Linked DNA regions of Macaca mulatta. The protein of the gene in region 1 interacts with the protein of each later gene in a pairwise test. Links are inferred from orthologs where the notes say so. Each region holds a gene or a part of one and is shown on either strand. Other genes may lie near its edges.

Evidence for each region.
Region 2: the proteins of HOXA1 (region 1) and LGALS13 interact in binary tests that used the Homo sapiens proteins (3 or more experiments, as listed by UniProt). The two-hybrid records come from large-scale screens. The link is inferred for Macaca mulatta from reciprocal best matches to the Homo sapiens genes HOXA1 and LGALS13.
Region 3: the proteins of HOXA1 (region 1) and EGFL7 interact in binary tests that used the Homo sapiens proteins (3 or more experiments, as listed by UniProt). The link is inferred for Macaca mulatta from reciprocal best matches to the Homo sapiens genes HOXA1 and EGFL7.

Annotation. Positions count from the first base shown.
Region 1 is NC_133408.1:101,251,952-101,255,697, forward strand, and holds the start of HOXA1 (homeobox protein Hox-A1), read left to right. Parts: upstream 1-1,131; 5' UTR 1,132-1,523; coding exon 1,524-2,175; intron 2,176-2,638; coding exon 2,639-2,994; 3' UTR 2,995-3,746. UniProt on the Homo sapiens protein: Sequence-specific transcription factor. Regulates multiple developmental processes including brainstem, inner and outer ear, abducens nerve and cardiovascular development and morphogenesis as well as cognition and behavior.
Region 2 is NC_133424.1:50,722,260-50,726,005, forward strand, and holds the start of LGALS13 (galactoside-binding soluble lectin 13), read right to left. Parts: upstream 2,356-3,746; coding exon 2,314-2,355; intron 2,185-2,313; coding exon 2,108-2,184; intron 1,596-2,107; coding exon 1,385-1,595; intron 1-1,384. UniProt on the Homo sapiens protein: Binds beta-galactoside and lactose. Strong inducer of T-cell apoptosis. Has hemagglutinating activity towards chicken erythrocytes.
Region 3 is NC_133420.1:5,826,581-5,830,291, forward strand, and holds the start of EGFL7 (epidermal growth factor-like protein 7), read right to left. Parts: upstream 2,901-3,711; 5' UTR 2,708-2,900; intron 1,464-2,707; exon of another isoform or gene 1,295-1,463; intron 1,146-1,294; 5' UTR 1,055-1,145; exon of another isoform or gene 1,019-1,054; intron 381-1,018; exon of another isoform or gene 343-380; intron 1-342. UniProt on the Homo sapiens protein: Regulates vascular tubulogenesis in vivo. Inhibits platelet-derived growth factor (PDGF)-BB-induced smooth muscle cell migration and promotes endothelial cell adhesion to the extracellular matrix and angiogenesis.

The DNA.
Region 1 (3,746 bases):
GTGATGGGGAACAGGACCCTTGGCCTGGGATGACGCTCAGATTTTCACGTGTCTCTCTAAGGAAAGACTTGAAGGTTCTCATAAGCAACTACCCAGCCAGTTGGAAAGGGGAGGAGGTGTCGTTGGGGTAAAGTGTTCTGTCCACCATCAGCCATCTGTCCACCGCTCCTCCCACCTGCCAGTCCCCGCACCCACTCTAGACGCGCAGCAGAATGAGGAAGGTTACAAAAGGAAGCTCTCTCTCTCTTCTAACATTCCTCTCCAGAAAAAGAGGAACGCAACGAAGGGAGTTCAGCTACTTTGTTGGAGCTGTGGACCGGCCCTGCGAGGCCCACGCGGGAGCGGAGGCTCCTGGGTCTCGGGCGCCGGCAGATGGCCTGCAGCGCACGGCCCGGCCCCCACGCTGGCCACGTCCGCCAGCGTCATCTCTCTCCCCCGCCTCCTACCCCTAAAAATCCGGCGGTCGAGTAGCTCCGCATCCCGGAGGGCTCCCGCTGCAAAACTGAGTGGGAAAGAAACGGCGGAGAGCGAGGAGAGAGGGAGGGTGGGGAAGAAGAGCCCGGTCGCCCCCGGCCTTTTCCGGCAATCCCTGTTTCCAGGGCTCTTCCGCACCCCCCCTTCCCCGGTCGAATTACAGAAACTCCTCATTGCCATGCTAATGAAGAGCGGGGGCTGTGGGGAGAGGGTTTCGGAGACTCTCCTGGAAGAAGGGAAGTTTCTTTTCTTGCCCTCGTCTCCTTCACCCCCACCCGAGTTCCTCCCACCCAGCCCTCTGCGCTCTTCCCTCTCCATTCCGCGCTTGGAGAGCCGGTGGCCCAGCCTCGCCCCCTGCCACGGTTCTGTGCGCTCCTCACAGCCCCATGGTCTCCCAGCCCAGCCTCAGAGCAGAGAAGGCGGCCTGGGAACCCGGGGCTCGGTGTCAGCCGGATTCCCCGCCTTCCGGTTGGGCGCGCTCCGGGCTGGGCCCGCGAACCTGCGGCCACCCGGCGAACTCCGGCCCACTAACTCGCGCCCCGAGAGAGCCGGGAGCCCTCTTCCCTTCTCACCTCTCGCCAGTTCATCTTTCAGTGCACAGTGGGGAGGGGGCGGGAGCGGGGGACGCCTCTCAGCCCCCACCTCCCGGAGGCCTGGCGGGGCGGGCAGCGGAGTCGGGCGCGCGCAGAAGGCAGCCTTTGCTCTTCTTCGCTCCAGCACTCCAAATCGGCCGTTGCAGTCGCCGCAGCAGCTGCCGCCGCCTGGGCTGCCTGGGGGGGCGACTGCGCGTCACCTAGACGGCGGAGCGCCGGGGATTTAAATGCCACTGAAACGGTGATCCATCACCGCGGAAGCCGGCAAACTTTTGCAGGAGGCTCAGCCATTGGCTGACACCGTCACGTGCCCCTCCCCTAGCGTCCTCCGCCCTCCCGCCCCCCCCTCTTGCGCACTGTACATTCATATCATTTTTCTTCTCAGGCCCCATGGAGGAAGTGAGAAAGTTGGCACGGTCACCCAGGGCTTCGCAGGACCAGGTCACTCAGTGACAGATGGACAATGCAAGAATGAACTCCTTCCTGGAATACCCCATCCTTAGCAGTGGCGACTCGGGGACCTGCTCAGCCCGAGCCTACCCCTCGGACCATGGGATTACAACTTTCCAGTCGTGCGCGGTCAGTACCAACAGCTGCGGCGGCGACGACCGCTTCCTAGTGGGCAGGGGGGTGCAGATCGGTTCGCCTCACCACCACCACCACCACCACCATCACCACCCCCCGCCGGCTACCTACCAGACTTCCGGGAACCTGGGGGTGTCCTACTCCCACTCGAGTTGTGGTCCAAGCTATGGCTCACAGAACTTCAGTGCGCCTTACAGCCCCTACGCGTTAAATCAGGAAGCAGACGTAAGTGGTGGGTACCCCCAGTGCGCTCCCGCTGTTTACTCTGGAAATCTCTCATCTCCCATGGTACAGCATCACCACCACCACCAGGGTTATGCCGGGGGCGCGGTGGGCTCGCCTCAGTACATTCACCACTCATATGGACAAGAGCACCAGAGCCTGGCCCTGGCTACGTATAATAACTCCTTGTCCCCTCTCCACGCCAGCCACCAAGAAGCCTGTCGCTCTCCTGCATCGGAGACATCTTCTCCAGCGCAGACTTTTGACTGGATGAAAGTCAAAAGAAACCCTCCCAAAACAGGTCAGTCCTGGGGGTTGGTGGATGCTCCTTGATTAATCTGGAAGGAGCTGGTATGCTTAATTTCCAAGGAAAATTAATAATTATCTTTTTTTTTTTAAAGGCTTTAAGACTAGTGTTGTAGTGCATGGAGAGGGTACCCAGAGGTGTTGGGGCAAAGAAGCCTCAGGGATTGGCGTGTTCTCAAGGATTTTATACATTTGGGAAGTAGGAAGTGTGTGGGGGTGGTTATTGTGACGGTAGTGTTCTGTTAATATCTTAAGGCTCCATTAATCACCGATCTGACCACGCTAATGGTTGACTTCAGGTTAACACTTTACACCTCATCACTCACCCTCCACAGCCCGATTTGTGTTGAGTTCTTGATCTTTTCTTTACCTGAGTGTTGCCATGAAGTGTGTAGGTAATCTCAAGTCGGTTTAAAAATTTTTACCTTTCCATCTCATGGCTTCCCACTTTGCCCCAGGGAAAGTTGGAGAGTATGGCTACCTGGGTCAACCCAACGCGGTGCGCACCAACTTCACTACCAAGCAGCTCACGGAGCTGGAGAAGGAGTTCCACTTCAACAAGTACCTGACGCGTGCCCGCAGGGTGGAGATCGCTGCATCCCTGCAGCTTAACGAGACCCAAGTGAAGATCTGGTTCCAGAACCGCCGAATGAAGCAAAAGAAACGTGAGAAGGAGGGTCTCTTGCCCATCTCTCCAGCCACCCCGCCAGGAAACGACGAGAAGGCTGAGGAATCCTCAGAGAAGTCCAGCTCTTCGCCCTGCGTTCCTTCCCCGGGGTCTTCTACCTCAGACACTCTGACTACCTCCCACTAAGGCGGCTCCAGTCCCAGACCACAGCCCAGGCATCTCCTTGGGCTGGGACTTCTTACCCAAAGCACATGCTTAGCTTATCTTTCTTTCCATTTACAGTCTCTTCTTTTCTGATCCTATCTGGGGAGCTCCTGGCCAGGATAATATGTTTGCAGATAATTCTGGACCAGAGACTTGGTGCCGGGTTAACACCTTAATCCAGATTGGGTGCCAGCACACATTTTCTGGTGGGCCTTAACATCCCTCCTGATTTTAGGAGAATTCACAGAACCTACTGTTCCTTTCAGATGACTTTTTGGAAAATAGTTCCCTTTACCAACAGAAACATGCCAGAAGGAATCTTCTCATCTTTTATCTAACTATATGTACAGCTCTCTCCTCCCTTGTCCTTGAAAGTAGGATATAGTGAAAGGAGAGTCCAGGAGCTCACGAAGAAGAGATACACTGTGTGTTTACACAATTAATTCATCCCTTAATTTAAGTCATTTTCATGTGTGTGAGTTTGCTGGTTGTGAATACTTTGTCCTAAGAGATTTATCTTTATACAGATTTTCTAGAAATGTTTAGGTTACTAAAACAGGGTGGGCAAACTCTCAAAACTGGCACAATTTTATAAGTGAAAGAACAAATTTCCTCATTTAAATCCAATCAGATGCCTCAGAGGGTAGCCTCGATTTGTTCTTACAGTTAAGAAGCCCTGCAGAGCACAAAGTTCAGAAATCCAGCTTCCTGTGCTAAGTCTTTCCCAATCCCCA
Region 2 (3,746 bases), on another chromosome or scaffold:
GTGGCAAAGAAGTAAACCCAGTGTTCTTATAGAATGAAAGGAGAACAGTTCTTGTAAAACAGGATATTACCTTCAACAACTTCTAAGCATAGGAAAAGATCCCTCACTTGAATCTGAATAAGATGTGAATGTTTTGGTCTACTCGTTAGAGAAAGCCAGGAAGTATGGATATATTCTTTATATTGAGGCTATGGAGAAAGTCACCTTATTAGTATTAATTTTTCAAATTTGAAATGCACACATTTTTAAAGCCAGTATTTTCATTTTTTTGTAATTATCTTCTAGTAAAAGTATTGGGAGGTTGGTAATGACAAAAGGATTGATTAGAAAACTTAATACAGCATCATTTGTGAGAGCAAAATACTGGAAAGAAATTTAATGCCCCCAAAAGGGCCAGGTTCAACAATTTTGGGTAAACTTTTTAATGCAATATTATGCAGTCTTTAAAATCTGAAGCAGCATCATAGATTGACAATGTCTTCGAGATATATTCTTTGGCAACAAATCAACTTAGTTCCTGAAGCGTAATGTGTAGAGCAACTTATACCAGGATTTGCTTAAAAACAAATGAAATCATAGACATATCTATATGCTTCCATAAGCAAAAAAATTCCTCTGAAGGGCTAGGCACAGTGGCTTAAGCCTGTAATCCCAGTATATTGAGAGACCGAGTTGGGCAGATAACTTGAGGTTGGGAGTTCAAGACCAGCCTGGCCAAAGTGGTAAACCCCCGTCTCCCCTAAAAATACAAAAATTAGCCAGGTGTGCTGGCACGCACCTGTAGTCCCAGCTACTAGGGAGGCTGAGTCAAGATTATTGTTTGGATCCTGGAGGTGGAGGTTGCAGTGAGCTGAGATCATGCCACTGCACTCCAACCTGGACGACAAAATGAGACTCTGTCTCAAGAAAACAAACAAACAAATAAACAAACAAAAAAACCCTCTTTGAACGAAAGCAGAGCTCTGATAGTGTTTTTCCTATGAGTAGAATTCGGGCCCCAAAATGAGACAAAGACTTAATTTTTGACTGATTTAAACAACTTTTTTTAAATCTTTTTTTTTTTTTTTTTCTGAAGTATATTGTATTCACTCAACTAAATGAAAATTTAAATAATGGCATAAGTAGAAATGAGCACTATGTGAAAAGACAGAGGAGATTCTCAACTTTGGGGGAAATGTCAGGTGAGCTGACCTTGACATTGGTCAGATTTGGGATAGAGCTGAGGATGGCACTGCAAGCAGGGGGTGTTCTGTGATGAAAACCAGGGGCAGGAGTAGTTATGGGAGATGGACGCCGAGGGACTGCTGAGGCCAGGTCAATGAGAGCTGCCTCCTGTTTTGGGAACCCACAAAGTCTGGGTGCTGGGAGCTCCTGGGATGCTCACCTCGTACTCATTGTAATGCACATAGATGCACAGCTCAAACTGTTTGCCATCCTCAAAGGGCACATAATCTGTTGTCTCCTCCAACATCCATATCCCAAACTCACGCCTGTTCATGACCACGTGATTGCCAAAGTGCACTCGGAAACGGAAGGCAATATCTGAGTCCTCATCCATGTCAGTGTAGAAATCCGCCTGCAGCTGTGGGTCGTTGCTGAGGGCAAAGCATGCAGAATGTTGGGCAGGTCCCTCCCTTGTGCAGACACACACTAGACATACACACAAATCCCTTCCCCCCTTTACCCGGGGAAAATGTCTCCGGGTAATTTTCCTGATAATACTGATGGCCAGGTCCCTGTGGGGATGCTTCAGCTCCTCGTGCCCCCAGCAGGGAGATTCTGTGCTCCTCATCCCCAGATGAAAACTGAGTCACAGTCGCTGACCTGGGCCTATGACTTGTTTATTCCCTGAAAATTCGATGCCCCTTGATAAAGAGCCACAGCCCCAACCCACTGAGTGTCCTCCTTCCCTAGGCCCTGTGGCTGGCCCACATGCAGTTGCTACAGGTCTCATGCCTGGTGCTGGAGGGACTCCAAGGACCGGCACCTGTATGGGGCTTCCATCCTGCCAGCTAGACATTTCCACATCACCTACACATAAGGTCAAGCCCTCAGCAAATATTCTCCCTTCTTCTCCAACCCCTCCATTGGACCATGGAGTACTCACATAAAAGAGTCGATTGGTGTCCCTTTGATTATCACGCAGGAACCAACAGACAAAGACACAGGCAGTTTGTATGGCACCTGCCAGAGTATTGAGAGTAAGTGAGAGGTGCAGGGTCAGGTGCAGTCTCCCCTCCTGAAACGTATTCCCATAGTGCAGGAGGTTAGAGATGAAAGGGAGGCTCTGTGGACTCTCCCCTTTCAGCCTACCACAGTCAGGGCCCCATATTCCTGAAGATATGGTGGACCCATAGTTAAGAATAAGCGTTCAGGAGCCAGGATGCCTGGATTCCGGTCGTCATTCTGCCTTTTACTAGCAGTGCAATCTTAGATTTGTTACTTGAACTCTTCCATCCCCATTTTCCCTAGGACAAGGAGAATGATCAGGAATTTCTACTTTGTAGGATGTTTTCCGTAATAGAGAGTTAATACATGTAAAAGTGTTACCCTAATCCCTGGCATGTGTAGGGCCTCTTACGGGTGACCTAACAGAACAGGGGAGTCCTCCTGAAACACTGACCTGCCTTCATTCTCAACTCTGAAAATTAAAATAGGACTTGTAAATGTAAGAATGTAAACATTCACTCCAGTGGGAAACAACACTTGTTGAAAGAGAGAGAAATGATGAAAATGATGATGTTGAGTAGGTCTCCAGAGGCAATTCAAAATTTTTTTGTCGAACATTAGTCCCTGAACTCTATGTCATCTCTTTGTATCTGAGATTTCGTCCTGCCCACCATGAGCAAAAGGTATTATCTGAGATAAAAATGAGTGTAACAGATGACCCGTGTGAGCTGAATGATAAAGGGGATATCACCACTGACCCCACAGAAATACAAACTACCATCAGAGAATACTATAAACACCTCTACGCAAATAAACTAGAAAATCTAGAAGAAATGGATAATTTCCTGGACACTTACACTCTCCCAAGACTAAACCAGGAAGAAGCTGAATCCCTGAATAGACCAATAGCAGGCTCTGAAATTGAGGCAATAATTAATAGCCTACCAACCAAAAAAAGTCCAGGACCAGATGGATTCACAGCCGAATTCTACCAGAGGTACAAGGAGGAGCTGGTACCATTCCTTCTGAAACTATTCCAATCAATAGAAAAAGAGGGAATCCTCCCTAACTCATTTTATGAGGCCAACATCATCCTGATACCAAAGCCTGGCAGAGACATAACAAAAAAAGAGAATTTTAGACCGATATCCCTGATGAACATCAATGCAAAAATCCTCAATAAAATACTGGCAAACCGGATCCAGCAGCACATCAAAAAGCTTATCCACCATGATCAAGTGGGCTTCATCCCTGGGATGCAAGGCTGGTTCAACATACACAAATCAATAAATGTAATCCAGCATATAAACAGAACCAAAGACAAAAACCACATGATTATCTCAATAGATCCAAAAAAGGCCTTTGACAAAATTCAACAGCCCTTCATGCTAAAAACGCTCAATAAATTCGGTATTGATGGAACGTATCTCAAAATAATAAGAACTATTTATGACAAACCCACAGCCAATATCATACTGAATGGGCAAAAACTGGAAAAATTCCCTTTGAAAACTGGCACAAGACAGGGATGCCCTCTCTCACCACTCCTATTCAACATAGTGTTGGAAGTTCTGGCT
Region 3 (3,711 bases), on another chromosome or scaffold:
CAGCAGGGGCTGGGCCCCGAGGCGTTGGGTCGGGCCGGGTAGGACGAGGGGCCGCGGCGCCCCCCGCCCTCTCCGCCGCGCCGCCCGCCAGCCGCCGGCAGGGGGAGCCGGTTCCCGAGGCCGCTGGGCCCATTCTCCCGGCCCGGCCCGACCCAGCCGCGGACGCCTCGGCCCGCTCCCCGCTCTGGGCCCCGCGGTCGCGCTGTCTCGTCCCGGAGCCTCCCCCGGCTCCGCGCGGGGCCAGGTCCCCCATCCCCGGGGGCTCCGCGGGTCCCGCCCTCGCCCCAGCCCGGGCGACGAGCAGACCCCGACCCCGGCGCGCCCCGCTCGCTCCGCACTCACCGCCGGATCCGGGGCGCGCACGCGCCGCCGACACTGCCGCCCGAGCCCGCGCCGTGGGGGCCCCGAGCCCCGCCCCGCCCCGCCCCCGGCCCCGCCCCACCTGGCGGCCCCGCCGGAGCCCCGCCCCGCCCCCATTGCGCAGACGGGGAAACTGAGGCCCCGCGGCGGGCGGGCAGTGACTCCGCTGGAACCCGGGGCTGACGCAAAAGCGCCTCTGAGCCGCAGCCCCCCAGCCCCCCTCCGGGAATCCTAGGGCCCGAGTCCCCGCGGCAGGGCGCTCGCTGAGCGGATGCACGACCACCGAGCCCGGCTGCCAGGAGCCGGGAGAGGCCGCCCAGGGCGCCCACACTGACGGGGCTGCGGGCCCTTTGCTAGCTCTCAAGCCCCCAGGCTGAAAATCACCCCGGGACGCCTATCTAAGCCACTGGGGGGCCGCGCGGTAGGCACCCGGTGCTGGTTAGCACTGAGCTCGGTCTTGCAGCCTCGCAGGCAGTGGGCATCATGACCGTCCCCACCGGGATCTAGTGATGATGAGGTCATGGCCACAACACAATTGTTGCAGCTGTTACTGAGGGCGCCGCACGTGGGGCTTGGGCCAGCCCAATTCAGTAGCCCCTCAGACCCCTGCAGGAGCCAGCGCCCTGTCTCGTAGCCAGTGTGGGCACCTGTGTGAGACGTGTTCCCTGGGAGCAAGGGGTTTTCCCGGACTCACCTGGCGGAGGAGAATCCGTCATCCCCCGGACAGGGGCGGGAGCTGCTCCTCCGGGTGATGGGGGCCACCTGTGCCTCCCCGGTCCTGGGGGCTGCGGTTGGAGAGGAGGTGTGGGTTAGTGCCTATGCACAGTCCTGGTCACCCTGATGTCTGGGGGCTGGGATGGCCCGGGTCCAGCCTTTGGTGCTGCTGTGGGACCTCCACCTGCACTAGGCCTACAGGCCTCCATCCTGTACCTACCCCGATCCCATCCTGTCCCGAGCTGATCGTCCTCTCGGATCCACAGCTCCTGGCCTCAGTAAAATGGGGCTGTTGCCTCCAGCCCTGGACTCCCCGGCGTGGGGATGAAAGGCTGCTGTGAGTGGAGCTGGAGGTCCGTCCCCAAAACCCAGGGTGCTGGGCGAGAGGCCTGCAGATGGGTTGAGGAGGGCCACCAGCTTGGTCCTACCTTGGTGCATGAGACTTGGAGGAAAGGAGGGGCCCAGGTCCCTGGAGAGGAGCCCCCAAAATAAGGCCGCTCCACCCTGCAATCCGGTGGCCACTGCTCTGGACCAGGGGCCCTGGAAACCCCTGGCACGTGGTCCGAGGGACGGCCAGAGCAGCTGCTGTCAGGGATCGTTCCTCATCTGACTGGGGAGTCCTGGGCCTCCTGGCACCCTGAGCCCACGCGGGGCTCTTACCCAGCCCCCGGCAGTGAAGTGTTCAGAGTGGAGCCTAGGGGCCTCTGGGGGGAAGAGCCACCCTGCCCTGTCCTCTGCCCCTGGCCTCATCTCTGGAGCTGCGGTCACTTAACCCTTTGACCTGCCTCCCCACGTCTCCTGCCTGAATCTGGAAGAGGTAATGGAGCAGAAAGGGCAGCTCCGGGGCGGCCCCGAGCCAGCCCTCGCTACCCCCGTCCTGGCTAGGCCCCACCATTTGGAAAGTGGGGGTTCTCAGACAGGCCTCTTGGTGTGGACGTATGAGACAAAAAGTGGGGCCTTCTGGGACCCACTATGACTCCGGGGGTTTGGGGATGGGGCTTCAGCCACTCTGCATGGGGCTGGGGAGAGGGAGAACAAGGGCTTCTCCAAGGTCCACGGGGGGCCCACAGAGTCACCTATTTGCCCATGACACCCTACCAAGTCATCACTAAGCCTGAGCCCCACGTCCCGCACCCTGGGTTCACACCGCTCATCCTGGCTACAGATTTGGCTTTGGGGTTCCTCTCCCTCGGGGCCAATTCCCCTCCCCAGACCCCACTGCTAGGAAGAAGCTGAGGAGACCCCAGCCCTTGGGACACCCCAGGATGTAGCACTAAGTCCCTCACAGTGGGCCCAGCTGAGCTGAACTTTGCTGCCAACCCCAGGGGCTGCTCTGCGGAGGGAGAGAAAGGCCAGAGGGTGGGGTTCAGGGGAAGGGCAGCTGGGGGTGAAGTGTTGGAGTCAGCAGACTGGATTGGGATCTACACTGAGCTACCCGCTAGCAGGCATTTGGCTCAGGGGCCTCAGTGGCCTCCTCTGTGCAGAAGGGGAGGAGACCGGGACCCCCTCCCCTGTGACCTCGCCGGGAAGCAGATTGCGGAGCAGCCAGCAGGCGCCGTGGTCAGCGGGAGTGAGGGGCACGGGGGGCCTGCCCTGTCCGCTCCCTGCCCCTCCAAGGCCACCCCTGCCGTACCTGATGCTGCCGGAGCCCAGGCGTAGCCATGGTGGCCCGCTGCTGTGTCCTGGGACCGGGGATGGACCCTGGCCCTTGCTGGGGCCTTAGGCCCACTGACCGCCTGGAGGCACCTCCCGAGGCCCACCTGCCTGGCCTGTCCACAGGAGCCTCCCTTGCAGCCGTGCTGGGCTGGCTTGGTGCAGGGAGGCTCCCCCCGGGCGAGGAAGGGCGGCTTTTTATGCTCCGTCCCGGGTAATCGGGATTGGGATGGGCCCTTCCCAGCCGGACTTCCTGTGTGTGTTCTCCGCTGATAACGGGGACGTGTCGTCGGACAAACAGGAGCCTAAGGGGGGCGGGGGCCACCGTGTGAGGGGGCCTGGACAAACTGCCCGGGGGTGGGGAAGCTGTCCCATGGGCCATCAGAGTCTAGCCCCAAAACAGCCAGAAAGCAGGGCTGGACCCTGCTGGGGAGACTCTGGGGAGAGCGTGGGATGGAGGACACAAGCCCAGGGCCCTCCCGGGACCGTGGGTCCACAGGTCACGCTTGCATGTGGCTGGACAGAAGGGAGCTGCTGCATCTTTGGGCCACAGAGTGCTGGGCTCTCCCCCAGGACACCCCCAGATGTGTGTGACACAGCGTGGGAGCCTGGAGGGGCTCCCTGGAGGGACCAGCCGCACTGGAGCCTTGACCAGTGAGGGTGGCGAGTGGCAAGGCCCGGCCGGAAGGGACTGAGGTGGCAAGACAGGCTGAGTGGTCTGAGAACAGCCTGTTCTGTGGGTCCCTGAGGCCCAAGGTCTGCCAAGGTCCGCCATGGTGAGGGGGTGATGGGAGGCGGCAGGCATGGAGTCCAAGCTGTCTCCCCCAAGAGAGCTGCCAGTGAGACCGTGAGCCCCTGCCCTGGAGATGGGCAAGCAGGCCCAATGCCCTCAGCCCCACTTCACAGGGGTGCTCTGGGCTGGCAGCAGACTGCGGCCGGGGGTGCAGGGAGGGATGCGGGACACTGTGGGTGATCACAGGGGGT